2 linked regions of the Arabidopsis thaliana genome follow. The protein of the gene in region 2 interacts with the protein of the main gene of each other region in a pairwise test. Each region holds a gene or a part of one and is shown on either strand. Other genes may lie near its edges. The genes, in order: AT2G23070 and ARA-2.

Evidence for each region.
Region 1: the proteins of ARA-2 (region 2) and AT2G23070 interact in a protein complementation assay, tested with the Arabidopsis thaliana proteins (one large-scale study listed by BioGRID).

What each region holds. Positions count from the first base shown.
Region 1 is NC_003071.7:9,816,033-9,833,740, forward strand, and holds AT2G23070 (Protein kinase superfamily protein), read right to left. Parts: upstream 10,867-17,708; 5' UTR 10,840-10,866; coding exon 10,460-10,839; intron 10,126-10,459; coding exon 9,996-10,125; intron 9,877-9,995; coding exon 9,682-9,876; intron 9,475-9,681; coding exon 9,317-9,474; intron 9,114-9,316; coding exon 9,023-9,113; intron 8,885-9,022; coding exon 8,819-8,884; intron 8,713-8,818; coding exon 8,630-8,712; intron 8,533-8,629; coding exon 8,469-8,532; intron 8,353-8,468; coding exon 8,284-8,352; intron 8,193-8,283; coding exon 8,130-8,192; 3' UTR 7,610-8,129; downstream 1-7,609. Other genes in the region: AT2G23067 (Putative membrane lipoprotein), read left to right, coding at 5,973-6,116; CKA3 (Protein kinase superfamily protein), read left to right, coding at 11,196-11,281, 11,527-11,656, 11,738-11,932, 12,021-12,178, 12,332-12,422, 12,555-12,620, 12,710-12,792, 12,911-12,974 and 2 more; AT2G23090 (Uncharacterized protein family SERF), read right to left, coding at 13,625-13,744, 14,019-14,059, 14,167-14,242; AT2G23093 (Major facilitator superfamily protein), read left to right, coding at 16,161-16,359, 16,517-16,661, 16,740-16,908, 17,001-17,259, 17,337-17,425, 17,624-17,708. UniProt on the Arabidopsis thaliana protein: Casein kinases are operationally defined by their preferential utilization of acidic proteins such as caseins as substrates. The alpha chain contains the catalytic site. Involved in the regulation of various developmental processes.
Region 2 is NC_003070.9:1,941,961-1,954,728, reverse strand, and holds ARA-2 (Ras-related small GTP-binding family protein), read left to right. Parts: upstream 1-1,848; 5' UTR 1,849-2,042; coding exon 2,043-2,263; intron 2,264-3,210; coding exon 3,211-3,640; 3' UTR 3,641-4,133; downstream 4,134-12,768. Other genes in the region: GSK1 (GSK3/SHAGGY-like protein kinase 1), read right to left, coding at 4,312-4,398, 4,479-4,580, 4,708-4,791, 4,909-5,004, 5,112-5,162, 5,274-5,414, 5,588-5,644, 5,719-5,793 and 4 more; AT1G06380 (Ribosomal protein L1p/L10e family), read right to left, coding at 8,841-9,605. UniProt on the Arabidopsis thaliana protein: Involved in auxin-mediated response. May be involved in vesicle trafficking of components involved in polar auxin transport. Binds GTP and GDP and possesses intrinsic GTPase activity.

The sequences.
Region 1 (17,708 bases), on a different chromosome or scaffold from region 2:
CTTACGTTAGTAAGAAAAACATGACCATGTATATATAATATACTCGAATTTGCGTCTCCTTGAATTTTCATGTTTTGAAACGGACAGGAAAGGTTACATAAAAAAGAAAGGGACAAGAAAAACTTCATGACTTGAATAAAGGATATGTATCACGACAACATTATAGTTGGCAATATAAAACAATTGATATGTTCGACTCATTAACTAGTTGAAAAATTCCCCTTTTATAAAGTTAGGCTACTCCAATCACACAATTAATCATTTTTTAAAAATCGCTTGGTAATATTCACCTAATGAAATCGGATCAGAATGATGGAATTGTAATCGAGAATTATTAGCAAAACAAAATCGAATAAATGAATATATCGTATGAAAGTGCGTTTGGCAATTGGCATGGCCCCCATTTGTTTCCATAACAATCTTAAGACTTTTTAATCAAACTCTTCTAAAAGTTCAATAAAATTAGCAAGTGTGTTACTAAAGAACCTAATTATTCCGTCAAATTTCAAAATAAGTATGTCGCCTTAATTAGTCAATTGATGTGTATATCATCTAGATGCTTATAGACATAAATAATTTGGATTCGATTATATTTAATCTGTCTATTCATGGGATCAAGCATTTTTTTTCTCCCACAGGATTGTCTAATCGTAGATTCCCACCCTTTCAAAATAATAAGATACTACCAATTTACGTATATCCTAATATCCATCACATATTAGTTACTGTGAATATATGATCGTTATTCCCATTTCGTATAGAAATTTAAAACAATATCTGAATATCGACCATCTCTATCTAACATAAAGATATATTTATATTACTCAAAAACGCAAAATGTCGAACCAAGCAAGACTTGAGAGGCATTCAAATGGAAAAATGGGGTTTTCATAAACACAGGATTGTCGTGAACTTTTGTTATTATATAGTTGTACCAAATATTTTCTTAGTTATTTCCATTTGGAATTATTCTTTGATGAGGTGAGTAGTATTAAGTTATTTATAAAAATTGACACTAAACTAATAATTCAGATCAAAATGTAGATTTTTCCTTTGTAAAATACAACCATCTCAATTTGAATATGATGTGTCATCTATAGTCAATGATGTACATGACAAAAGCGCTTACGTCATAGGATTCAGAATAAACTAAAAAGAGAGACGAAGAAAGGCACTAATCTAAGGCAAATATAACGGTGCGTAGTTTCAGATATATCTTCCCATCTTACCTTATAATGTTCTCCACCGTCACATTCGTGTATGCTAGAAATTTAGTGTTCCTTTCTTAGTTTTTGTTCAAGAAACTTATAACTTCTTTAGAGTTGCTAGTGTTGAGATTGAGTCTTCGAATTAGGTTTCGCAAAAGAACTATATTTGTAGACTTATACGTATTCTTGATCCTTTCACGATTTCAAAGTAAAAAGAAAAAACAGAAACAGAAATTAAAAAGTTTGAGGAAAGTGACTTTAGTCAAGTATTAAACGGTTCATATTTTCGGGTTTTTACATCAAAGTTCTATTCCAGCAAATTGTGTTATCAATCAAGATGTCTTAAAAAAAATAAATACAAATCCGTTTTAGTGATTCGAGTTAACTTTCACCGAACTTAGTTTAGCTCGAACACTCTATTTTACCTAGAGTCTTTAGGACCTTCTTCTTCTACGAGATAAAGAGATAGTCTTCCCGAAACATAGTCTATCATGAACTTATTATGTCGTGTTAGATAAAAACTATATATTTTTTGTAGGTTCAATTTCTTTTTGTCATAATATATTTCAAATTACAAGATTAAAAAGTATGGTTTCCGGTTTGTTTTGAATTTATTTACTTATTTTCTGTTAAAAATACTTTTAGATAAATATATACATATAAACTAAAAATTCTGTACAAATTTTCAAATAAAATTTCTTAATTCCGTTTAGAATGAACTAAGTCGGTTTAACGGCATAATACACTTTCATATGTTTTTTTTTTTTTTTTTTTTTTTTGTTGAAAACACTTTCTTAGGTTCATGTATGAATACAGCATTCGTGGTTGGGTTGTCTAATATAAAATCCATGAGATTAGTGTATATAAATTAGGTTTGAATTTTTAAAACATAACATAAGCCATGGACCACATCGTATGACGCAAAATGTCGAGTGATTAGCAGACAGATTAGTGTTTTCCGGTCCAGTTTGTAGAATTCAAACATACATATCATTTCTTGTTATGATTTTAATATATGTACCTATGATTAATTGTAACGAATTTCAAACATACAAATTCCACGACAAATTCCTCGAGATCGGCATTGAAACGATCTTGATCTAATCCAATATTATTTTGATGATCCGTACGGTACATTATCACGTCCTTTTTTTTTATACGTAAAAATCATTTTCTTACATCGGCTAATTACGAATTACTGAACAGTCAAAAATAATCTTAATATGCAACAGAGCAAGTTAAAAATAACTAGAATTTAACGAATTGATTTTTGGCCTATCTAATTAATGTCGTTAACTAGTGGAGGGAGTGACATTGGATTAGTTCTGAAGTTTTCTAAAGTGTATTTTTGTTTTTTAAACAGCAAAGTTCAGAATTATATAAATAAATACATACTAATTTTCTTAGAATCTTTTTTTTATATAAATATTACATGTGAAAAATCTACCTAAATGGCTATTCAGTGTTTTAACAATAACTATTTTTCCTCCATTGACATGTAATATGCGTTTAAATTGGTTGAAACAAAGATACTAACACAAACTATAGTAGAGAAGTCATTGAAATTTTTTAAGCTTCCATCTTGTAATTTCCAATTTCATTTTCACACAACTAAAATACTTAATATCAATATAAAATTCATTATTGCTCCCGCTATTCCAAAATACTTGATATATATCATTTATTATTTATTTAAACACAATTCAACCAATATAAACAAACTACAAACTATAAATAGTAAAAGAAACCCTTTATCAAAAGTAAAAATAAATAAAATTTGTATAGAAAGATGAGAATATCACTTAATTTGAAAAAGAGAATTATCTAAAACATCATTTTTATAAAAACAAAACAGAGGGAGTATATGAAAGATTAGTAATCAAGAACAACGCTGACATGTACCCAAATTCTTGTCCAAGATATAAAGGCTCCAACCACAAATATATGAAGAAAAAAAAAAAATTTTGTTTTAGAGCTATAAATTTATAATTTAAAGTTAAAAAGAAAAGATTTCTTAGCATAATTTTATAAATATATAATTCATTATCTTTATTTTGTCAATAGATAAATACTTTACAGTTAGATCTTCAAAAATTGACCATAAAAGAATCTGACTACAAAGTAGAAGGTATTATGCCAACACTTTGATTATAATATGCAACTATATGATAGACACGAGAGTAATACAGTACATTTATACGACATTCTTGATACTCATGCATACAAATTTCAGAACAAACAGGTCAGTATGAATTTGAATTGAAGAAATTAACTGTTGCTTACGATTACGACATAAGAATCTTTATGAAATCATCGAGGATCCATAAACCATGTGATCTTTATTGATTATTAACCTATAGATTGACTTAAGAATGTACTTAGCTTGTAAACCCTAATCTTGTTATACCTTAATTTATTCAGCATATCATAACGAGGAGGAGGCCAAGACCAGTCAAGCCACGAGCCAAAGTTTTTTTTAGTTATTACTCACTGAATTAAAAGTAGACCTAGACAAAAATGACTAATATGCCCGTGATACGTCTCTTAGTTGTGAAAATGAGGTCCAGCTGTGAATGTTGGAGGGGGACAAAGCGGCGAGGGGAAGAGACAAAATCGTGTTGTCGTGTAGGAGAAACGTAACGAGATAATTAGTTGCTAAGGTTATGTCCAATCAAACAATGAAGTGGGTTTAGGTTACGGTCGGAGTGACTTATTATATGCATGAGATATCGTCGTAATATCGATGTAATTATCTTCTTCTTCATTTTTTCCAACGTTTGATAAATTTGAAAAAGTCTTTAAACTAGTTAGAAACACAAATGAAGAGTAATAGATTGAGAAGTTTAGTTCTGAATGGGACTGCTTGTTGACAATGATTACAGTATGTTTGTATAAGTCAATTTGAGAGCAACCGAAAGTTTTTATGGTTGGGTAAACTATGCATGAAATATGAAAACGCCATTTCAACCGCGTTTTCGAAATGATGATATCAAAACAATATTAATGTAAACCACGTATTTCTCACAATTATTTCGAATTTTAGACTAAGGTATTTAACTTCATACAATGATTAGTTTTTCAAAATCATTTGACTACTATATCAACAAATACTTGTATTATGGTAAACTTAATTAAATGGTAAGTTTTTTCATGTGGATTTATATCTAAAATCTAGGCATCATTTCTTTTACAAATACTCACTAGTTACTCATAATTAACCACAATAAATGTTATAATGACAAACTAATCATTTTTCTTACATGTCTAAATACACAGTTACATGAAAGTTTCTGGTATATAAAAGTAATTTAAAAATATCTTTTACAAATTGTTTATGATTAGATAGAAAAAGAGAGGAGACCATATTCATGTGTAATAAAGTCTAGCACTACAACCAAAACCATTTAATTGGCATGTGTTTATGTGTGCTAAAGTATGTTAATTTAAAATTATTTTTACAAGAAAAGCAGGTAATTAATTTAGTTAAATGTAATATTTGTGGTGAGGGCAGATTCCGACACATAGGCTAAGGCCTTAGCTCGTCCGGATCCCGGAGATTATGCACCTTGTCCCCATATACGCCTCTGATTGACTCATGAATCTTGCTTGTCTAGTGTCTACTACAGTATTACATGTAGTTAATTATACAAACTTATACATATTCACGATATGTCACTAGTTTAAGAGTTTTTTTTTTTTTTTTTTTTTTTTTTTTTTTTTAAGAGTGTTCAATCAAACTATACTGACATAATCTAATCCAAACCGAGTCAAAATAATCAATCTAAAAGCCGAACCATATATTCGTTTACGTAATTAAAAAATATATTTAAACGATCAAATCTGAACAAGAACTAAACGAAAAACAAAAGAATAAACCAATAAAAAACCTAGTTTTCTTAAAATGATAGATTTGATTGAAACTAGAATATGAACAAAAACAAAAATTCGTAACAAACTATTCATAATAAATTATATTATCTTTTGTAAGCTATATTAATAAAATAAAACAATATCAAAACTTCAAAATTTGAAGAAAAACTTACTGAAATTTGCCTTAATTAAACACCTTCACCTTGTGACCTCCATGTTAGTTATTTTAAAATATAATTGTACTTTTTGTTTTGTACATTATCAAAAGAGTTCTGTGCTTGAAATGACTTGAGACTATAGTACTTAAATATCTATCTACTCAGAGATATTGCTTTCAGCATATATTTCAACCTAAATATTATCTCGTAATTTTAGTATCTGAGAGTTTTGTGGTGGGGAGATAAATATGAGACGCAAAGCAAACTAGTGGATAGGAACGAGAGACAAAACAAAAGGGCATTAAATAGATGCTACAAAAGCTTTTTGATAGGGTTGTAGCTAGATATATATTTAACCTTGCAAGAAAAATCTGTTATATTAAAGTACCATCAATTCAGATTATTATTGAATCGTTATTTGTTACTGTCTCCAACCATCTTTTAAAAACCAATTCATCATTCAGATTTGCGATTAGAATGTAAGATTTACCGAAGTAAGTGAATAGATTATTATTATTTGGTGCAAAAGTGAATGGATTATTAAAAACCAGTTTCTGTATGTTCAAAAAGACGAAATCGCTCTACTAAGATATATGGACTTAGAATGATGACGTACGATTCAACTGCGGATGAAATGCGATGCGGTTCTAATAGTAATGAAAAAATATATATACACATATATGTAGATATTTGATATCTCATCTGTCTTGGCTAAGGACGATAAAAAGAGAGAAACATGGAAGTGAGACATGGAGCGTTGTCTACTGCTAATGAGAATGAGGTCATCATAGCTTCTGCCATTTCATCACTCTCGTCTTGTCAAATCAACGCCATTCATTATCATCATGATTCATACGCATCCCATGCATGGCAGACATAAGAATCAACTCTCTTTCTTGATGACTTATTTAGATAATCTTTGTTTTAACATGTCGTAACCATGTTTTATGATGAAATTTACGGAACATGGACACATTAATATTAACATTACATTAATTTACGTGTCAATGAGAGATATATAAAACGTTTAGGAACAACTAATAATGTAGGGTAAGAATGGCAGCAATGTCATTATGTAATATCTACGACTAGTGACCTACGTATAAGCACATCAAAGTACTCTAATTAAGTTTTTTAATCAACCGACGTCGACAAAAAAATATTGTGTCCCGATATGCATTCCTAAAACCACACAAGTTCATATGTATATATACTAAAAAATTTCCGGAAGGTAGATTATATAAACATTGTAATGTGAACCTGTTGATTCATCAGAAGTAACATCGGTCTAAATATCGGTCGGTTAAATATGAGTCACATATTATTGTACGTGGGTTTGAGTCACATCGATGTTCATAAAAAGATTTTGATTTACTCTTACCAAATTGTAATATGATTCGTTAGGTCTTAAACTCCACAACTTGAACAAAAGTATCTTTACATACTTTCCACTCAAGATAGAACTAAAAACTAAAAAATAGTAGGGAAGTGTGAAGTGTGCACACTGCACACGATTGTACACGAGTACGGTGGTTATATAGAGTTTGATTGATTCAAAAAGATGATTTGTGATTTTACGTACATGTATAATGTATTATCAGTGGATAATTTCAATTCAAATCTAGAAAAATTTTGAAACTGTAGATTTCTTACTCAAGTAAAGTTACAAACATACATGCTAGACGATCATTGTTCTCATTTGCCCTGCATGCTTCCTTTGATCACGTGTTATTAGTTCACCATGAATCTACGACATTATACAGAAATTATTCAAATGATAGAATGACACGTTCAAGATCCGATGATCCCATATCTAAATATGAAAAATGTAACGTTTCAATATAAAAACAGGAATGAAAAACAGAAAAATCTTTTTTATTTTTTTTTGGCCAGAATGAGAAAATCTTTATCACACGAAACTGATTATCTAAAGCATTCCAACAGAATACATCATTCAATAATCTCATTTACTCATACGCGTGAAATCTCACTTTGGATTAAGGTGTCAAAACTCAAAAGATAATCTTAATTCACAAGACTGCACACCGGTTATCAAACGTTTTTAATCGTTTCCAAAGTAAATATTTATTTCTCTTTTGGTGGATGATTTTCTCCAATAATTTGAAAAAAATAACTGATTGATGGATCATGGATGCATATATATACTGAAAATCTTGCACAATTATTAGTTATATATTTCCATATTTGGTTTCATATGTTTTAGACACAGCAATATCTTTGCGTGTGCGTAATTCACAAAATTTTAAGAGATGAGTAATTTTTTTAAGGCATCATTTTCAACAAGAAAGAAAGAGACAGACAGCTATATTGTAAACTAATATAGGATGATTGCATAATCATTTGGACAAAGGGAACCAGAGAGATTAAACTAAACTTAAAAGATATAAGACAGATAGGTCGAGGTTGTTCCACAGACACAGTACTCAAGATCGGATTACGTGCTTAATGTCCCCTAATCACTATTTGGATTAGATTAGAGATTCTTGTGCTTTCTTATGTCTACAGTTATATATCTAACTGACCGACCATCACTCTCTACTCCCGATGCGAGCTTCTTCTACCTTCCACGGAGCTGTCAAAACGGGCTAACTAAAACCGGCAAGCCAAACCAACCTGTCCCGCTCAAGAATATGAAATTTTCCAGAAAATTAAAAATGAGAAGAAAAGAAAGAAAAACCTTTTGAAACCCGTCTTGTGGATATTTTTTTTTATATAATAAAATTCAAATGAGTTGAATGAAACACTGAGAAAGAGCAAAACAGTAACACACGCACACTTGAGAGAATGAAACAATGACAGATCGATTTATAACAAATTTGAATCCGTAAAGAAATGAAAAATCAGAAGATTGAACAAGCAAATGTTTTCGAGATCACTGGCTGCGCGGCGTACGGCTGCTCTCTGCATTTCTAATCGGATAGAAATATGGATGCGCCTGTAAAAATCCATCATATTCTCTACTATCACTTATCTGTAATTATAAGAGAAAATCTTTAGAAAGATATTAAAGAAAAATTGTTGCTTACCATTGCTTCTTTAGCTGTTGGCCTTTCTTGGTGATCATATCTCAGCAACTTGTCCACAAAATCAACAGCCTTCATTAACCAAAAAGTATATGAAAACAAATGAGTCATGTTCGTCCAAAAAATCCGGTGTTTTGGTCTTAACATGAAGGCTTCATAATTGTATAGAGAAAAGTTAAGTGTTGTACCTCAGGAACTGCTAAGTGCTGGTTTTCAGAATTGATGAACTTTGTCCATGGCTTCCGGCTATGTCTATATAAAATCAAGAGTGCATAATTTAATGTTCTGAAATGATAAGGCGCAAAACTGGAGTTTTTAGAGTTTTTCATAACTTTTTAAACCGGATTACCTGCCCACGAGGGATGTTAGATTAGGGTCCAACTCTATACGGTATTTGTTTAGGTAGGCGTTGAGTTCATCTGTGCCAAGCACCTGCCATAGTTATAAATACATAGAATCGTATTTTTAGCTATAACTTGGAGGAATGTAAAATCTGTTCAGAGGAGACGAGACATGATGAAAGCTTTTGTAATGTTACCTTCGCAATTTTGACCAATTGATCATAGTTGTCATGGCCATAAAAGAACGGCTCCTTGCGGAATATCTGCAAACAGTAGAGTATACAATATTCACCACTTAACTAACTTAAGGAATGGTAAAATAACCAAAATGTACTGTCGAATTCTTGTCATTCCATTACAGCTTAAACCAAGTTAACTAAATTCTAGCTTAAAACGCTTACCATTCCAGCAAACATACACCCAAGACTCCATAGGTCTAAGGAATAATCATAGTCCTGTAAATCCACCAGCAGCTCTGGACCCTTAAAGTACCTGCTCATCAAATATGAAGTGAGAAATGATAATAGTATACATCAGCTAGACGAAGTTAGATAATATGTTTCAACTAATCTCAAGAGCTCAATGCATGCAATCTTCAACATTTCTTATCTAGACTCTCTATGAGCAGAAATTTAGCAACTGCAACAAATAGAATCTTGCAGAGGAGAGATTAGCAGATAGCCAAAAGGAACTACCTTGAAGCAACACGGACATTGTATTCTTTCCCAGGATGATAGAATTCTGCCAAACCCCAGTCAATTAAACGAAGTTTTCGCTGCTCGTGATCAATCATGACATTATGTGGTTTCACATCTCTGTGCATGATTCCACGTGAATGGCAGAAATCCAACGCCTGCATAAATGTTAAAAAGAAACAACAAACAGCATCAGAAACAAATTCGTACCCTTTATAACTGAAGGCTAGTGGATTCAAAAGTCAAGTAAGGTAAACAACAGTGTATGACGCTATACATCTATGATATATCTACCGATTACTTTTGCCAATTGCCAAAGCCGCAAAGAAAATCATGGTCTACAATTCAGGAAACTGAATAATTACCTTTAGAAGTTCAAAAATGTAATATCGAACATCATAGTCTGAGAGAGTTGGATAGAGAACTTTGAAATCTTTATTGTTCACATGTTCAAATATCAAGCTGGGCGTCTTAGACTGCTGATCTCTAACAATGTCGAGCAATTTTACAATATTAGGCCCACCGCAGAGGTTCTGCAGAATCTTAATCTCTCTCTTAATCTGCGTCAAGGAGAAGCAAAATATGTTAGAGAATAATTCAAACCAAGTGAAGGGCCAGAAACACACTTCATTCTGAGCACAATTGAGATAAAAACAAGCAAGCGGCTGTATCTACTCACCTTCTTCTTCTTCACAGGCTTCAAAATCTTGATAACACATTTCTCGTTATCAGTAGCATGAATGCCTTCAAAGACCTCACTGTATTTTCCCCTTCCTACCTTCCTCACCACCTCATAATCATCCTGTACACTGCGGCATCAATGAAGCTAACTCAAACACTAATACACCAAACAGTAACAACACCATACAAACTCAAGATATCAATTCAACAATCTAGTTCACATAGACCAGCAATTTTCAAGAGATTATATACAAACAAAACAGATACCAATACAAACAAATCAGATACCAATTCTGCATTACTTACGAGATTATATCATCAATCAAAAATATGAAACGAAACCCTAAATCTACATTCCACATTGATTCCAGAACAACCAATCCCAAACCAATCTATAACCAAAGGCAAACATCTAGAAATCGACGTAATTAGGTTTAATTAGAGAAGAATCTGAAGATATACCCCCATTGAACAGCAAGGGACTCGTAATCCCAATAGTCCTTAGGTCTAACAACGTTGACATCAGCGTAAACCCTAGCTTTCGACGGCGCACCGGCACGCCGGATAGATTTACCGATCTTCTGAGCCAGCGTTTCTGATTTTTCTTTCACGCGCGATTGCTGTTGTTGCTGATGTTGTTGTTGTTGATTCCGGAGATGTTGACGGTAAAGAGAAGCGCTGGATGCGAAACGACGGAGATTGTCCTGGAGCGAAGAGAGAAGAAGATTCCTCTTCGCCGGAGACGACGAAGAGAAGGAGAGGAGAGAGAAGAGATTGTTGTTGGCGGCGGAAGCGTTGCGAAGAGAGGAGATTGTGAATCCAGTACAAGGCCTTAAGGCCATTAATGTCTTTTTTTAACTCTTATTCAGAAAATGAAAAGTGAAGGTAACGAATTTGCTTTATTTCTCTCCTTTCTTTTTCTTTGGCTTCTCTTCGAAACGATGTCGTTTAAACAATTCGGTCCGGTTATAGTGTGATTGAAATCGATCCGATTGGGTTTGTTTCGGTTCGAGTGTGGTTGAATCGGTTCGATTTGGTTTAGGTGGTTTTTGGGTATCAGAGATTCTTCTTCAACCTTTTTCTAATCCTGCACAACGCACTTCTTCTGTTGTCATCATCATCGTCCACTTGAAACAAACCTGACGATCAAAGAGAAGATTGCGATCGCAAATTTCTCCATTTTTTCAGATCGAAATTGATGTCGAAAGCTAGGGTTTATACAGATGTTAACGTTGTTCGTCCTAAAGAGTATTGGGACTACGAGTCTCTCGTTGTTCAATGGGGGTAAAACTTCTAGCTTTAGAATTTTTCTTTGATGAATTTACGATTTTTGACTTCTTTTTGATAAATTTTCGGTGGAATTTGATTGATTTGTTGCCAAATCGAATTCGAAATCAGAGAAATTGGAATTTTTTAGGGTTTGGACTTAGGTCTCTTGAAGACACTTTGTTTTAAGTATCTATTAGCAAATATTGGATTTTGAAATTCAACAGTGTGAGATTCTTAAATACTTTTGTGTGATTCTTCAGTCATCAAGATGATTATGAGGTTGTGAGAAAAGTTGGTAGAGGAAAATACAGTGAAGTTTTCGAAGGCAAAAACGTCAATACGAATGAGCGTTGCGTTATCAAGATCCTCAAACCCGTAAAAAAGAAGAAGGTGATCAGTTAGTAGAACTCATTTCTGATGAATTTGCATACATAAAGATGGCTAATTTTGCTGAAACTTGATGTTATGCAGATAAAGAGAGAGATCAAAATACTTCAGAACCTATGTGGTGGACCAAATATTGTTAAGCTGTATGATATTGTTAGAGATGAGCACTCCAAAACACCTAGCTTGGTATTTGAGTTTGTCAACAGTGTGGACTTTAAAGTATTGTATCCAACATTGACTGATTACGATATCCGGTACTATATTTATGAGCTTCTGAAGGTAATGTATCGGTATTTACCATAAATGACTTTTACCGTACATACAAATGTTTATCGTGGAATCCAGAGCTGATGTTATTGCATTTCAGGCATTGGATTTCTGTCACTCTCAAGGAATAATGCATAGGGATGTTAAGCCTCATAATGTCATGATAGATCATCAGCTGCGTAAACTTCGTCTGATAGATTGGGGCCTTGCTGAGTTTTACCATCCCGGAAAAGAGTATAATGTTCGCGTGGCCTCGAGGTAATATCCGATACCACAGCTTAATTCCACCTGTCTTGGCAAGCCTAAGAGGGTCATTCGTAGATGCCAATGATTGAAACTTTTAGCTGTGCAATCAAAGCTTCTTGTAGTTGTTAAATGCATTAGACTAAAAACCTGTGAATTAATTGCCAGATACTTCAAGGGTCCCGAGCTTTTAGTTGATCTACAGGATTATGACTATTCTTTAGACATGTGGAGTCTTGGTTGCATGTTTGCTGGCATGGTGAGAACTAATAATCCCCTCACTCTTCTCTCTAGCTTCAATGCTGAAGCTATTGCAAGCATTTGAATTTCCGAATGGTAGTCGTTAATACTTTGCTGTTGCTTATTCACTTGTCAAATATTGATGCTGCAGATATTCCGTAAGGAACCGTTCTTTTATGGCCATGATAATCATGATCAACTTGTCAAAATTGCCAAGGTATATTGCTAGTCTATGACTTATTGGCATAAAATTACATTGTAAACTTAAATCCATGTATATGATTTCTGATTGAAACGTGTGCATAGGTGTTGGGAACCAATGAGTTAGATCATTACCTAAACAAATATCAGCTAGATCTTGACCCTCAACTGGAAGCACTTGTTGGAAGGTTTTATTCCATCCCTGAATCTCTCTGTCTTTAAAAGTCAAAATTGTTGCTGTTCTCAACTCTGGCTCAGTTAATTTTATACCAATGAGTTAAAACCTGAAGTCACTCTTATTTGTAGACATGTCCCCAAACCATGGTCCAAGTTTATCAACGCGGACAACCAACATTTGGTCTCACCTGAGGTACTACTCTTTTTCGAAAAACATAGTTTTGCTTCGTTCTGGGTGTATTGACTCATTGTATACATCTTTAGGCAATTGATTTTCTCGATAAGCTTCTTCAGTATGATCATCAAGACAGATTAACCGCAAGAGAAGCCATGGTAAAAATCCTCTTCATGTGCACACATCTTTTGATTTTGTTTTACCCGATGATCTTCATGTGCACACATCTTTTGATTTTGTTTTACCCGATGATCAAGTCAAACTTATAATCTCTGGTTTCTCTATTGATCTATAGGATCATCCATACTTCGCTCAAGTTAAAGCCGCAGAGAGCAGCAGACTACGAACTCAGTAAAACCGAAGCTTGATTGATGATGCTTACTACTATTTTTCAACCAAAAACTTTGTAATGATTTTGTTGTATCAAAATTGTGGTAATCTTTACTTTCATAGAAACATAATCAACAGCGAAAAGAAGCCAACTTATATTAAAAAAAAAGGTTCCACACAAAGCTTCATTATATAATCATAGCAAGAGACTTATTGTTGAAACAAGTAGAGAGAAATAGAAACCATAAAATTTGTCGAGACTTTGATACAAACATAGGAAAGATGAGGATCCATACGTTATACATTGGAATCCTTTATAGTTGAGATAATAGCTTTCATCACTTCTTGAGGTGAGGGAAACAAGCGACAACATCGGCTTTCGGATGCTTCGCCTCCGCGTGCTCCCTGCATTTCACTTCCGATGTCGTGCAGATGAATGTTTGCATACAAACCTTGCACTATATAAACACACACATCAACAAATAACAAGTTAATATAACACAAAGCTTCAGGATCAACAAGAAATAACAAGTTCATTAACACAAAGCTTCAGGATCAACAAGAAATTGTGCATCAACATGAGACAATTAAACTTACGTTTCATGACTACATAAACAATTCCAAAGGACTAATAATAATTGGATTCTTATTAAGAAAAGCTGATTCTAGTAACCAATAATTGTAATATTTCGATGATTTCGAAGACGATGATATAAAGTAATAAGTGATCACCTGAATCGACATAGCTTTCTTGTTAGCTTCCAATTGGCTACCTATAAGAGAGATCAAATACAAAAATCATTAAGAAACACGATTTTACGGCTAAAATCTCCATCTTTGAAATTGACTAAAAACCCCTAAAATTGAATCTGGTTGTTACCTTTTCCTGCAGCCTTAGCCTTCTCCAAGTTTTTGGCACGAGCCATGGCTGATTTCTGTGCGTTTCCTCCACCCATCTTTCTGATCGATTAGAAGAAGAACTCAAACCCTAATTTTTCAGAAGAGGAAGAAGAGAAAAATACGAAATGGAATTTTTATGCCGACTCTAATGTGAAAAGATTTATATGAGAAAGAAAAAAACGATGCCACTTGATTCTTTTTCTGTAATGTCCACTTACATTTAATTCGCCTACTCACCAATCACCTAAAGTTATTTTGGATTCTAGATAATTCAACATAATGGGCCTTCGGACTTATTATCCATTTAAGGCCCGTTAAAACAAGAACCTTTAACGTTTAAACGACTGAGGTTTTTTTTTTTTTTTTGGTCTGAATAAATCAGTTGACCAACACACAAATATGTTTTCAATCTAAACCAAGAAAAAGATTCTTTTTTGCTAATTGATAACCTGTACAGTTTATCTTATTCAAAGGAATTGAGACACTCACTCATTCATGCAAAATGATAGGATTAATATTATTCAGGGAGTGAGTGGTTTATATTGTTAACTTCTAAAAAAACTAAAACAAAACAGAATTTACAATTAAAAAATTAAAAATAAAGGAAAATTATTTTTTTGTTGTTTTAGGACAGACTCTAGTAAATGTCAATTTTATTAGGTCTCTATAAGCTATAACCTACACGATTTATCTTCTTCAAAAAAAATGAGTCACTCACTCACACAAAATATGACCGCTTTTTATTGATTGCACGAGCTAACTACTACCTTGTCTATTGAGTATAAGAGAGCAAATGATGGTATAGCAATGAACATCGAGATGATACTAAGAAAGATTGTCCGAAGAATCTCGATAGTAGTTCGAGCTATCAAACTTTAGAGGTTTAACTCACACTAACGCTCGTTTAGTAGACAACTCGTCAGTCAATTGATTTCACCCGGCGAATGAGTGGTTTCTATTGTTAACTTCTAGAAGAATTCATTTTGATTTTTTCTAGATGATTCCGTAATTTTGACATCTAACATATGATTTCATCATATTCTTTTCGGCCAAAACATGATTCAGAAATTTTAACATAAATTCAAATTGGGCAAAAAATCAAAATTTGGAAATGATTATTTTGTAATTTCTGTTTTAAATTATTATTGTGTTTTGATGCATATGCTATAAATTTTATCTCAAAATTATGGCTTCTTGAAATCTGGATTTGAGAATCTTGCATATTTCATGTTAAACCTTGAAAAATATGCAACATCATGAATCCTCATTATCCATTAGTTCTCATAAAATCTTATCTATTTTACTGAAATTTCCTAAGTATTTGAAAGAAAAACCTACAAAATCATAATTTTCATCAACATCATGATAATTTGGATTTCGCACCAAATTCGAATTATCTTGAAAATTGAACTCCATAATCTTCTAGTATTTCCATTGGTCTCACAAAATCGTTGTGGCCAAGATAATGTTTTAGGATCGAAGAGTAATTAAAAGAGCGATAAATATTTTCTTAAAAAGATCTAAGAGAGATTCAAATATCTAAAAAATCAATTTTTCATATTTGATATACATCTTTGGCGATTAGTTGCGTTGTGGTGAATTCAAACATCTAGAAACAACCAACGTTAAATCTTTGCTATGAACTTGAATTTTTTTGTTGCACACACATATAAGAAAGAAAAAAAAAAGACTAAAAAACATGTTCAAAAAAATGTGAAAGGCGATGTCAATGGTCAAGAAATATTATACAAAAACAAATTGTAACAAAATTTTGTGTAGCTTACTTCAACTTAAGACTATTTTTTGGGTGGGATAGTTATTGGGCCTTTTGGCCTGATAATAATATTGGGCTTCATTTCTTTTTGTGCACCACTTACATCAGTCAAGATCTCAAATTCTCTCCGACGTAATTGAGTTTTTTTGTTTGTTCTTTTACTTCTTTCTCCGGCTGATTTACCGGTGAATTTTGGATCGATGGGTGTCGTTATTGAGACCTTTATTTGGGAACCAAGCTCAAGCTTCTTCATCTTCTTCTTCGTTTCCACATTTTTATCGATATCTCTGTTTCCTTACTTGGCCAAAAACAGAACTTTTGGTAGCTTTGATCATTCTATTTCCTCTTCTTTCGCTCGGTTCCAGAGATGGTTTCTAGCTATCTACACTCTCTCTTCAGGTACATCATTAGATTTCTTCAGTTGGGTCTACAGATTTTTATCTGTATCTATGGTGCTTTCAATTTCTGGTTTCGAAAGCTTTCAACTTTTGCCTTTTCTCGTCTATCAAAATGGATCCTTTGCTACAATTTGAATTCTTTGATTGGAATGTGGCAGTGATGGAAGGTTTATTGTCAGTGTATGGAGAATTGGAGTTAACAACTTATGGCTTAAGTAAAGAATCAATGGTGTTTTATCTCTGTGTTGGTTATTCGACCGCTCTTGTTCTTGGTCCTGTACTTGGTGTGGTTTCTGATCTCATGTAAGTAGCTTTTAGTAAAATGTTGATCAAAGTGTTTTCATTTTGTGCTAGTAATGATAAATACCGAAACTTTTGTAGAGGTCAGAAGAAAATTTGTCTACTCTATTGTGTCTTGCACCTTATTGTTGGTGTGTGGAAGAGGATTACAATGAGTCCTAGTGCTTGGTTTGCAAATGTTTTTCTCTCCCTTGCTGGTCTTGTATATTCATTTGGGTTTGAGACTTGGCTTGTTGTGGAACATGAAAAGGTATATGGATTGGTCATTGCATTTGAGTTTTTATTATTAGATAATCAATGTTCTGATTTTGTAATGATGTTCTGTGTCTTGTATCTTTGTAGCAAAGTCAGAGGAATGACTCGTTAAATGAGACATTCTGGTTGATGACTTTTCTTGAGTCTGCATCTTTAATTGGAGGTCAAGTTCTTGCAAATTGGCTTGTGGGTGAAAATGTTCAGGATGGGATTGCATTATCTGCTACGGCGTCTCTGCTCTTGTCTGTTGTGACTATTATTTGTATTGTCCAGACTGCAAAAGAGCCGTTGAAGACCCTTCCGTTTAGGGATTATTCCACAGCTTTCTATGCGTATGTTCTTGGTGGTAAGATTTTGTCTTCATCTATTCAGTTAAAATTCCTGAAAGAGTATACGCTAATCTTAGCTTGTTAATGTGATCAGACAAAAGAATATGGTTTCTGGGAACTTCACAAGCCTGTCTTCAGTTTTCCACTGCAGTCTTTTGGATTCTGTGGGCACCAACAATAGTGGTATGATTAAGCTTCCTAATATAATATTTGCAGTTGCTTGAACCAAATTTTATATTTCAGAAATCAAATTAGCAATGATGGTTACTGTCATTTGATGTTTAGGACCTCCAGTGATTCCCTAATTGGCCTTTAGATGATAAAATTATTGGTATTTATTTCTCGACAATGGAATGATTAAAATGAGTTATGTTTGTTTAGGCTGATGGGCGTGAAGTGAATCTGGGATTGATATATCCATGTTTCTTGGGTTCAAGAATGCTTGGGAGTACTGTATTCCCATGGC
Region 2 (12,768 bases):
CCCTCTACTCTATAGACGAAACTACTATGACCACTATATATTTATACTCCAAAAGTCAAAAGTTTCTTACCATAAAGAGATAATACCCTTTTCCTTTTTATTTTAAAACAATTATAGGTTGGCCTTTACATACTTTTTCACAAATGATAGTAGTAAGAACACATTTGAAATTTTCACATATTTTTTATGAATAATATTTGTCGTCTAATACATCATTATTATAAAATATTTTAATATTTAATTTATAACAAATAATTTGGTATATTAGTAGGGAAAAACAACCATGAAGAATTTAAAATTGTTAGTTCAAAAGTATATATATTGGGTGTTCATGTGACATTATAAAAATATAGGGGAAAAATTAAAAACTAATGAAATAAAGGAGGGAAAGTGAAAATAAACGTAAAGTTATACGTATAAGAGTCGTAGTACATCGTGTGTGTATGGAAGCTCTCTTGGATATGAAATATTATTTTATGTTTTTGATATTTTTGTGTATTTTTAATAATAAAAGGTTTGGTTTTAGCTATGATTATTTACTGGTCAAATCGAAGGGGCTTAAGACTCTCCTCTGGTTACATTTAAAAGGAATCGAACGACCGTCACCGAGTCGTTGCTTTGCTTCGCTGTCCACAAGTACATGTCATTAAACAACGTACTTGAGGACCAATTGGATTTGTCCGTGACGTAGAAAGAAGGTGACAGCCTCAGTGGTAATAGCACTTCCCTTCCGTTTAGAAAATTTGGATAAGGCTAGTTAGCCAGCCGGACTCGCACTATTGCCAGCTGGCACGAGTACACCAATGAGTCCGTTACGCGCGAGGAGAAGCGCGTGGAGGATCGGACACGTGATATGGAGAAAGAACGTGAGGACGCGTGATGCCGTGTGCGATGCGATGTGTGGACCACTTTTGGGGCTAAAATAGCTAAGTGACTTACCAAACGTGTCTAGGACCTCGTTTTGGACCGTTTGACACGTGTCGAAACAGGGGACGCTTTTGAGCGTGTGGTGAACCAGAGTGATCAAGTGTCATACGTTTTTGTTTTGGATGGTATTCGTTAGTGGAACAGGAATTAATTAAAAATGGAAGCATATGGGAATAGATTTATTTATGGTTAATGTTGGTCTATAAAAAAACAAAGACTACTCCGTATGAAACTAGTTGGTCAAATTAATTGTTGGTTGCACATTGTCTAATATTGTCTTTAATGATTGATTAGTTGTAGGCTTGCAGTTACAACCTCGATAAGATTTTTGTGTTGTCAGATTGTAGTTGTTGTGATTTTTAAAATTGTACCTATATGTGAATAAATATATTGAGAAAACAAAATATATATACATGAGTCTAATTAGGATGATGTTATTGAATTATTGGGCTTTCAAGATTTTCCTTAGTAGAGAGATGGACCAGAAATGTTTTAGCTATTCTTTGTGTATGTTGCATAAGTAACACGATTGTTCGGATGGAGCAACATTATAGTAAGGTGTTATGTGAACCGTAGAAAGTTTCTGAGTAATACATAATTTCAAAAATTTATAATCTAATAAAAAAGTAAACTTGATATTTTTAAAAATCAATACAAATATCTCTAATTTTATAAACTCTCCAGGTTGCTAGCTAAGGAGTAGTAGCTACATTCATTGAAACCCAAACTTAAGAAAATGAAAGTAAATAGTATCTTCATCCTGAAGATAAATTTTAGAAAAGTAGGTGTATACTGTTTATTGTTAATCTTGTTAAATTGTAATTAGAAAACTGTATTAAGTTAAAAATGATTATGTTGTGAGTGGAAGTTGTTAACAATATATGGAGAAGATTTCCTAAAATGTGCAACTAATTAAGCGGAATCATCTTTTTAAAAATTTAAACTTTTTCTGTTCAAAAACAAAAAGAAGAAGAAAAAAGGGTGATTTAGAGCCAACCCGACAAAAGCTTTCATCGTCATCATCTGAATCATTAATTCATTATCATCAAATAATACAGCAGCAAGCAACACAGTAAAACCCAATTCCCTAATCCCAAAATTCGATCTCTCATCTGATGGCTGGTTACAGAGCCGATGAAGAGTACGATTACCTCTTCAAGCTCGTGTTGATCGGCGACTCTGGTGTCGGCAAATCGAATCTGCTCTCTCGGTTCACCAAGAACGAGTTCAATCTCGAATCCAAGTCTACTATTGGTGTTGAGTTCGCTACCAAAACCACTAAAGTCGAAGGCAAAGTCGTCAAAGCTCAGATTTGGGATACTGCTGGTCAAGAGAGGTCAGATTACGTTTCCTCTCTTGCTTTTTTTTTCCTGCTTACTTTATTGAAAATCCTTAGGATAAGGTTTTAAAAAACCATCCTTTTTGGCTCGATTTCGTTGTTGAGTTCTTGTTGGATTCGCTGTTTATGAATTCATGGTGTTTGATTTATGTATCTGAATCTGTAGCCTGATTTGGATATTACAAGTTCAAAGTGTCTTGTTCATTTTTCCTTGTTGGTTTACTAGTTACGACTATTTGTGGCAGAACTAGAGTTTTCTGGTTTTCGGAACGAAACTGGTTGTGTCTGAATTTGTAAATCTCTTAGACTTGAGCAACTTTCAATATGGTTCAGAATCTCAATTGTGCTGAATATCGCTCGCAGGCTGCAGTTTACTCGGAATATACTTTTAGGTTTTATTCACATTTGGGCTACTAATGGTTTTCTTTTGTGGCATAGCTTCTGTGTTTGTAAGATTCTTGTTCATAGATCTGTATCCCTCATATATGGGTCTACTTGATTAGCTTATTCAATCCTCTCCTGTCTAGGTCAATTCCCGTTGTTAAAATGTTGTTTGTAGATATCTGTTATCTAAACCTCGGTTACTATACTAGTATTGTGCTGTTCCATCCGTTTCACACATTGATATTTGTCTGAGCTCGTCTGTGATGAACTTCTGAACCCAATATACTTGTTGAAAACAACATTTCTTTCATCTCCTCTGTCTTGTCTTGCACTAGACATAGATAACATTTTGAATTTTGCAGCAGAATTCTTCATTAACTCTGCGATTGTAACTTTACAAAGTAACCATTTGGTAGATGGATACCATGTAATATGGTTATCGAAAATAGTCTAACTTTGTGTACTTAATCTGTAATGTTACTGAACTTATTATTGTAGTTGTTATTATATCTTTGTTAACAACATCTGAGAAAATGCTGGTTTTGTTTATGCTATGATAGATACCGAGCAATCACAAGCGCTTATTACAGAGGAGCTGTTGGTGCTTTGCTTATTTACGACGTGACAAGGCACGCAACATTTGAGAATGCAGCAAGATGGCTAAGGGAACTAAGAGGACACACAGACCCAAACATAGTGGTGATGCTTATAGGGAACAAGTGCGATCTGCGTCACTTGGTGGCAGTCAAAACAGAAGAGGCTAAAGCCTTTGCTGAGAGAGAATCCCTCTATTTCATGGAGACTTCAGCTCTAGACGCAACCAATGTTGAAAACGCATTCACGGAAGTGCTCACTCAGATCCACAAGATAGTGAGCAAAAGAAGTGTTGATGGAGGAGGAGAGTCGGCTGATTTACCGGGAAAAGGAGAGACGATAAACGTTAAAGAAGACGGATCGGTTCTTAAGAGAATGGGTTGCTGCTCTAACTAGAGTGGGGGGATTGTAGATTTGGCTTGATTTGGTTAGGGTGAGACAACAAATGATAATCTCTTTGGGTCTTGCAATCAAAAAAGAAATAAGAAACGATTACTTTTAAGATCATGTGTATGCTTTGGTAACTTTGGCCTGTAAGGTCCTTTAAAATTTAAGTACATGATTGGTAATTTGTTTTCAACACTCCCACCACTTGTAATTTGTAAACTTGTAATAAACTGAAGAAATGCAAATCATCACCTACGTAACATTTCGAAAATAGATCTAGCGACTTTTAATTTAAGAGGATGATTATTTATCCCTCTAGTCTTTTGTGTTGAGAGAAGAAAACAAAAAAACATCTGTAGCTAATCTTTTGGACATGACATGGTTTAATATTATCACCTCGTTTTTCTTTTGTCTCTACGTATCTGTCAGAATTGTTTTACAGACAAAAACATATACAAAAATACACGAGGAACAGTGTCTCTCTCCACTCTCCAGGCTACGGAATAAAAAAAAAAAAAACGCAATTATCAGCATCTGATTTCTCAAAAAGCTGAATATGACTTTACTACGGGTATAGAAGCTGATAATAGTCGTGGTTAATATACTGTTGAACCTGTCAACTATCAAATAAAAGTAGTAAACCTGCTTTTCTCCTCTTTCTCTTCAGACATGCACAGTTTTTAACTGTTTTGTAATCCTGTGCTCATTTGTCGTCTCACATGCTCAGGTATTAGCCTGTTGATTAGCTCCATTGAAGCTCCACCTAACTGTTTCCACATCCAAAGAACAAATTGGGTTATGTTGAAGTTCCACTAAAGAAACATCATCCTTTGCTATTGATTTTTACCTCTTGTTTGAAATTGAACAATGGCGGTAATGGACGACCATTTGGAAGACGGGCGTTTGGCTCTCGGAGTTCATTGAAAAACGGATGAGCACATGCTTCGAGCTAAAAATAGACAGAGAACAAGACAAATGTTAAAATGAATCTTAGCTTTATCCAACACTTGGAAGATTCAAAAAGAGTTATCACTGACGACTACTTTCGATTATAAAAAAAAGAGGGAGATACTGACCGCAGTGCAGCGTAGACTTGGTGAATATTGAAGAAGCCGAGATGCAAGGTCTATTGCTTCTGGAGGCATCCGTTTATGAAAAACCTGGAGGTCAAGGGTACAGTATATGGTTGATGCTATAAATGAATCGCTTCAATGTATACTGTGTAGGTAATGAGTTCAGTAATTGCTTAACCAGGAACAAAAGGTGAGATGAACTACCTTGTGCCAAGGGTGAGCTTTGATTTGTGGGAACCTAAAATCTGTGTAGTTCGGGTTCATACATCGAATTTCTTCACGAGTTGGAGTACCAAGAACCTAAAACAAGGTAGCAAGTGTACTTATGGTAACATATTTACTAGATTCTAGTCTAATACCAAAGACAAAAAAGAGCACATCCATTAGTCTAATAAAGGAGACTTCACCTTTATGATCTCCACAAGCTGATCAACTGAATTTTCTCCTGGAAATAACGGCTGTAGAGAGAGAGAGAGACTGGCTTAATATAACATTGGGTGCGCACTTTTTGCATTTTGCAGAGACTCTTTATTTAACAAGGTAATTAACGCATAAAAATCCACACTAACCTGGCCCAGAAGAAGCTCTGCCAGTACACAACCAGCAGACCATATATCTATGGATGCTGTATACTCTGTGGCGCCAAAGATCAGTTCTGGAGCACGATAATAACGGGAGCAGATATATGATATGTTTGGTTCACCTTTGACCTAATAGTGAATTACCAAAAATTTAAAAGGGTTACCAAAACAGAGAACATGCTGCTCGCACTTAATGGTATAACTCACACTTATATGGTAGCTCAGTGAACTAGATGCGTAGATACATAACCAAGCCGAAAACACACAAAAAAGGTGAGATAATGAAAAGATAACACCCTTACCAATACTTTTGCACTTCCAAAATCACACAGCTTAACCTGATGGGTCAAGGGATCAACCTACAGTATGCACCAGAAAGTGAGATCCAGAAATAGTCAAGATTACAAACCACATGGCATGCTAGATAACGTACCAAGAGATTTTGTGGTTTCACATCTCTGTGGCAAACACCGGGAACAGTATGGATGTAAGCCAAACCTCTAAAGATCTGCACAATAGATATTTCAAATCAGTTTCAGAGTAAATTCTAATAAATTATAATATTTGTGAGAACTAACTGCAAATAACAGTACATACTTGATATGTGTAAAGCTTGACATAGAAAATTGGCATCCTCTGATTAGAACTAGTATAGTGCCTCAAAACCCGGTATAAAGTCTCAGGTACATACTCCATAACAAGGTTGAGGAAGAGCTCATCTCTACTCGTTGTAGAGAAGAAACAGTGCTTCAAGGAGATGACATTTGGGTGATCCATTGGTCGCATTAGTTGCAACTCACGGTTTTTATAGCGTCGATCTTGCAAGACCTTTTTAATGGCTACTGATTCTCCAGTTTCCAAGCATTTCGCCTAAAATCGTAAATTTCAGACTTGATCAGAAAGAAAGAAGAGAATTTATGTCCTGGAACCGCTAGTACAGAGAAGCACAAAATACCTGAAAAACAATCCCGAATGAACCTGTTCCAACAACCCGCTCAGCCATGTAACTAATGGTCTGTAGGGGACAGAATGAAGATCATGTAAGGGAGAGATGAATTAATTTGACTTGAAAAAGGGTTTTAATGGGAAAGTAACACTTGCTGGAGCATTTGATGCGAAATGAATAACCCAGACCCCGCAGAAACCTTACACATGGTACTGTGCTATAACCGTAAGTGTTAACTACTAGTTAGTTATCTAAGAGATTTTGCAAACATTAGCATCAAACCTGCTTTGGTTCGCCGTTTTTGCCTCCAATAGTAGTGGAAATGATATGACCAGTAACAGCGTCATTTCCCTCAATAACAGCTGCAGACATTTCCTGCAATCCACCTCACATATTAGTATAGACATTAAACTATTTTGATCAACTACAAGGTGGAATAGAGATGGCAAGCATTTACTGCATCCGATTATTTCAACAAACCTCAGGATAGGTATGACTGTATGAGAATGCTGTTATTGCTATTATACAAGTGGTCGGAATTAACTTATATTGAAAACGTGAAGCTAACACATATAAAATGTACCAACTAACCAGTTGTCAAGCCAATAGAAGCACTCAAGCAAGATGCAGAAAGAATAAGAAAAATAAAGTAAAGCATGGGTTAACCAGAGGTAAACAATGGTGATAGAAGTTCAAAAATGTAGTGATTTTAGACGTCAAACAATTTATGGGTATTAGATATAGAACAAAAAAAAAAATCATAGATACAAAATACAAGTCAATGGAAGAAGTTCTGCCAGAGTGAAGGACAAGCCATAAGACAAAATTCAGAATAAATGTCGATGGCAAATAGAAAAGAGAGAGAGACAGAGACAGAGAAGCAATGGGCCAAGAAAACCATAACTAAAGGAATACTCCGAAACCTACCGAGAGTGAATTCAGAGATCTACAAGTAAACTGTACTTTGTAGAATGAACAGTGTTGAAATAAATAATATCCAAACAAGCAAATTGTTGTACTTGAAAGTGAACAGTGTTGAAACAAACAATCGAAATATCCAAAAACAAATATGAAGGGGAAATATTCAACCTAGTTTACTGAAAATGTAAGTTTCCCAAGCGCAAGAAACTATCTCAAATTATTTTACACTAAATTTTTCAACAAGATTCGAAGATTACTGCTACTTAGATCTCCGGTAGAGAAGGTTGAAGTAGTAGCTGGGAGATACCAAGAGTAATCTAGCTACTGCATGCATACAAATGAAGTAAAAATCACAGTCTCCTATCAAAACGCCTCGTCGGAGAAAGAAACAAAAAAACTCTCCGGTGAGCTCAGATCAATACAAGCGACGAACAAACACAAGAGCACGAGAATATAGATCGATTCGACTGAACTAAGACATAGAACAAAGAAAGTAGGAGCTAGATCGGAGTAGATCTAGAACAGCCACCAAACGATAATTTCAAATGCACTGTTTACCAAACACAGACGGTAACAGTAACACACAAAACAAAGAGACGGGGAGAAATAAACCTTATCAGAATCCAATTCAGGACGGCGTTTCAAAGCGTCGCCGTCGTGAAGCTGCAGCGGCGGAGCAAGAGCATGAGGCTGAGGCCCCAATGGTAATGAGGCCATGTGCTTTTTTACTCTTTTCTCTCTCAACCACTGAACAATGAGTAAAGTCTAATTTTTCCTCTCTCTTTGCTTCTAAATTTCAGAAATGGTTCAAAGACAATGGAGGACCCACGGAAGACTAGAGCGCGTGAATGTAACGGTCCAATGAGAAAACTACTTTTTAATTGATAAAGCACTGAAAAATTCTGATAAACACTTCCTTAGCATTTAATGATAACTAAATTACTAAGTTGAGTTAGAACTCCATTAAATATTCTAACTGAATAATAATGGTATCAAATGAATGAATACTCCAATCATATTTCCCAATTTAGATATTAAGCTTAACTTAAAGAGACTTTTCTTTGTCCCTTTAGCCTGAAGTGTTGCCTTTGTAAGACAATAGTTAACGATAGATTCTTTTTCATTACACTAACCAACAAAAGAATTACAGTTAGCATTCATACAAAGATAAAATTTAAGTTGCAAAGGGCTAAAAAAAATGACGATGAGACTAGTTTACGAAAATGTAAGATTAACAAGCAGTAGTGGGGAACGTAAACTATACAAAAATAAGACTCTGAGTCAAAGGGATTGGAAAGTGAAAAGATATATAACCGTTACTGTGATATCGAACAAGAACAATTGTCAAACAAAGAAAGATCAATGGAATCTACCTTTGTGGAGAGTAATTCAATAGAGTAGGAAAACTAATATTCTTTCCAATACATCACCAAAAACCATCTTTTTTAGAGAATTCATGTGACTATATATCTGCATAACAAAAGAAGATACCAGTAAAATCAATCAAAAGACCCACTCATGGAAATTTGTATTAAAACCATCTGTTTCACTCTAATCAATCTAGACAGTTTTGTTCAGTCTAGGCATTATCTTAAACATTACAGCATCACAAATTCCACTAAGAAAACAAACCAAAACTTGTGACTCACTGGAACCAGATCATCCATCAGCTTCTTTAAACAAATTCATCAAGCAACTGATTGATAAACAGGCAATGCCAAGCTCTCAAGTAACTTGAGATGAAACAATTTAACATTCTTCCATCTACCAGGAACTAAATCACCAATCCCATTCATGGCCGCTACAACATTCTCTGCAATCTCGTTCCTTCCCATTGACAACTTCGCTACTTTAACAACACTGCAAGTACCTGTACCAACGAAGAACAAAGCTGATTCACAAGCTTTTTCGATCTGCTCTTTCCAACTACCATGCCTTAAGTTAATCGCAATCGGAGTCTTATTCTTCTTAACAAACTCTTTCCCCAACAGCTTCGGCAACATCGGCATTAGCCTCCTCTCCGCGAAATACAACTCGAATCGCTTCTCCTCCTCTAATTTGCGTAAATCGGATTTCAATTTGGAGACTTTAATAACTGTGGTGATTGGAATCTTCTCTGCTTCGATCTTCTTCAAAGCCGCTTCCTTTGTGATTTTGTTCTTGTGTTTGTCGTCGATGATCAAACAGAGCTCCGGCGGATCTTCGGCGACCAGATCGATGAGAGGATGAGGAAGAGGGATCATCAAGGGGTTAGTACGATCCAACTGAGGGATTCTCTTCAGTGTCACGATTAGATAGACGAAACCGTCGTTCTCGAGTGATTCAGAGTTCTCGGTCTTGGATTTGGAGTCCCACCATTTTAGCAGAGACTTCACGGCTCTGTTAACGTTCTGCGGGTCAACCTTCGACTGGTGTCGCTGCGGAAGTGCAGCCGTAGTAGTAGTAGTACTCATTCTCCGGTGAGAAGACGGCGCAATGAACACAGGTTACGTTTGCGGAATTAGGGTTCTGAGCAAAAATTATAGGGTTTACGATTTTTTTCTTTTTTTTTTCTTCTTTCGACATTTTATTCGATTTTTTTTTTTGTAAAACTCAAAAATTATATGCGTTTTATTAATGATGCGCCACTTTATCCTTTTTTCTGGGGGTAAAATTGTCATCTGCTCAATCGTTTTCTCTGACCGCCGGCGAAACTCTTCGCGCTTCCCCGACTGCCGGCGAAAATCGACGCTGCTTCCCGTTTCCGGTTAATTAAGAGCTTTCCTCTGTACCTCTTCAACTCATTGTAGGCTGCGTCTTCTTCAATGGCAACAAGGAAGCGGAAGAACGCTGATTCGTGTAGTGACGCTCTTCTAAATCAGAGCGAATTCGATCTCCGAGGCAGATATTCTTATTCAATTATCTCAATCCCTTGGCACCGTATTCTGGTAATGTTTCCAAAATAAAGATAAATTGCAATCGCTTTAATTTTCTGATTTTGTGGTGAGTGATTGAACCTGTGTCAATTCTATGCTGCTGAGTGTTTCTCAGGTTGATCATAATGGATAGGTGCGCCGTGCGGTCATTTGACATTGCGTCCCATTGTATAAAGTTCTTCATGTGACGGGCCTTGATACTACTTCCTACGTAATGGTCAGTATACTTCTTCATTATTTTACAAGAAATCTTGAATTGTGGTATTAACAATGTGTTGTTACTTTTGCAGATGATGTAAAAGCTTTTTTGGTCTACTAAGAAGATAAAATTAGAACCTGTTAATATTGATTTTGAATATAGGCTTCTCCAAAATCTGATGTTACTGCAATTCCAATAAGATTTGCCTAGGTTAATGACGAACAAAGTGAAGCCAGCTCACCATTACACTATGTTGATAGTTCCTAGTTCCTACTATGTTGAGAGGTTGATGTAACCGGAAGTGAGTTAGAGATCCCAGATCCCTCTGTTTCCTCTTTATTCGTTTTTGCATTTTAACTCTGCAGCTGTATTCTTTAATGTTAGTTTTAATGTTTTGTATTGAACATTTCATTGCGCTTACTAGCTTCTGCTGTGTTAGGTCTTTGGTCCTCGGTTTCACCTGTCTGTTGGACCGTATGATATGCTGCTCATGGGTCATTGTGCCTCTCAATTTTCTGAAGCTTCCTCTCATCCGGTGGAGACTATTACGGAACTCGCTCATGGCACTGGTACTATTTCCTGTCATGCTTTTCACTTTCACACTTTTTTTCATTGCGGGAATTATCAAGTCTACAAATCAAAAGCTTTTATCTCTTATCCAATGGATCTTAGCAGATATATACAGCATACTCTGCCATAAGTAATTCAGGTAATATGGATGTACTTGAATAAATGTAAACTACACATGGGAACATCTTTTCATTGTGAATTATGTTTTCCATGTCGTTTACTCTGATTATGAATGACAGGTTTGTGCTGCCTGTGTTACCCATAGCTTTGATATTCTCTGGGTATACATTTGCTCAAATGGAAGCATCTGATTTATCATCAATCATTAAAGAGAAGCAAGTCCCTGGAAATAACCATATCATCAAGTGGTCTCCTAAACTAAGACTTCCAGTCTTCATTTTGCCTGCTACCAATATCCCGAGGCACTACACATGAGTTTATTCTATCAAGTTAAAAAACTAAACACTCTAGTTTATGAGTTACTCTCTTTTTCTTTCTTTCTAATTGTGCTAAAAGGAATTCTTGTTTTCTCAATGGACACGAACCAAGGATGCGATGTACAGACTTATCGGAAAAAAGGATACAAAGGGAGAGTAAAGAGCATTCTCTCTCTCATGCCAAGCCATTCGACTCCTTATTATTATTATTCCACTCTCCATAGTAACATTCCAATGCGATTTCTCGACTACACACCAAGGTAAATGGATCACGCCCCTGAGTCACAGTTTTTGCTTCTATGCGATTCTTAAGGATTCTTCTTCTTATTATTTTGAAACAGCGAAGACATTAGGAGATTTTGATGAGTCAGACCAATTCTTAATGGACCTTTTAGGATTGGCATCAAAGTTAGCTAGAAATTGGCCAGCACGACCGCGTCACATATTATTGTTTGCATCGGAAGCAACAAAACTCAGAGGTTTTATGATCCACTATTCCTTCCAAGAGGCAAGTTGAAAAGCAGGACCACCATTTTTTTCCAACGCTGATGTTATTCGTTTAGTAGACTAAAATCTGTTTTGTTGGCAATGAAACAGGTCAAAAGTTTTTTCCACACACATTTCAAGGTTTATAGATACATCAAATCAATCCCCACTAGTCATCTATGCTAAAAAATACTGACTCGGTCTAACTTCGCGTGTAGCTTTTTTTTTTTTTTTCCTGTTACCAAAAAACACCTTGATGTTATGGTGTTTCTGTCTGAACCACATGAATGCACTAGTTGATCAGGTCGGTACACAAGTTAAAAAAACGAACTCAACGAAAATGTCAAAAATTCTCAATTATTCTATTTGAGTTTTATTTTGAATCTGTTTTACTCTCTTAGATCATATGTTCGAGTTAAGAGCTTTTAATTTATAGCCCCGCGAAGTTTCATGATCAAATCTCAACAACTTTCAACATCAGAACCCAAGAAAAAATAAATCATGTTTTGGATCAAGGAACGTTTGTTGATTCTCATATATGTCTGGTTTTCCTTAGGGATTGATGCCCACACGGAAATTAAGTTGTCTATCTACCACAAAAAAAAAAAAAAAAAAAGGTAGCTACCACATTAAATTTCTCTGGTTACGTACAATCAATGTTAAAAGATTTGTTGTTTCAATGTAGCTAGGTCTCACCTATATATGGATTCCTATACGGGGTTTTTACATACCGTATATACTGTTTTGTGAGTTTGAACTTAATACTAATTGACAATATTTATATATTAACCCACGTACGTTTTTATATTTCATGCTACTGCTATAGAGATTTCATCATTAGCAATATGAAATACCATTCTTCAATGTTTAATTATGAATTTATGATCAATCAAAACTGTGTACTTGCAATACAATACGATTTAACAACGCTAAGTGATGTGACATTATAACTGTGGATCCATCAGATATATCGAAAACAACAGTCCTGCAGATCGTATTTTTTGTGGGA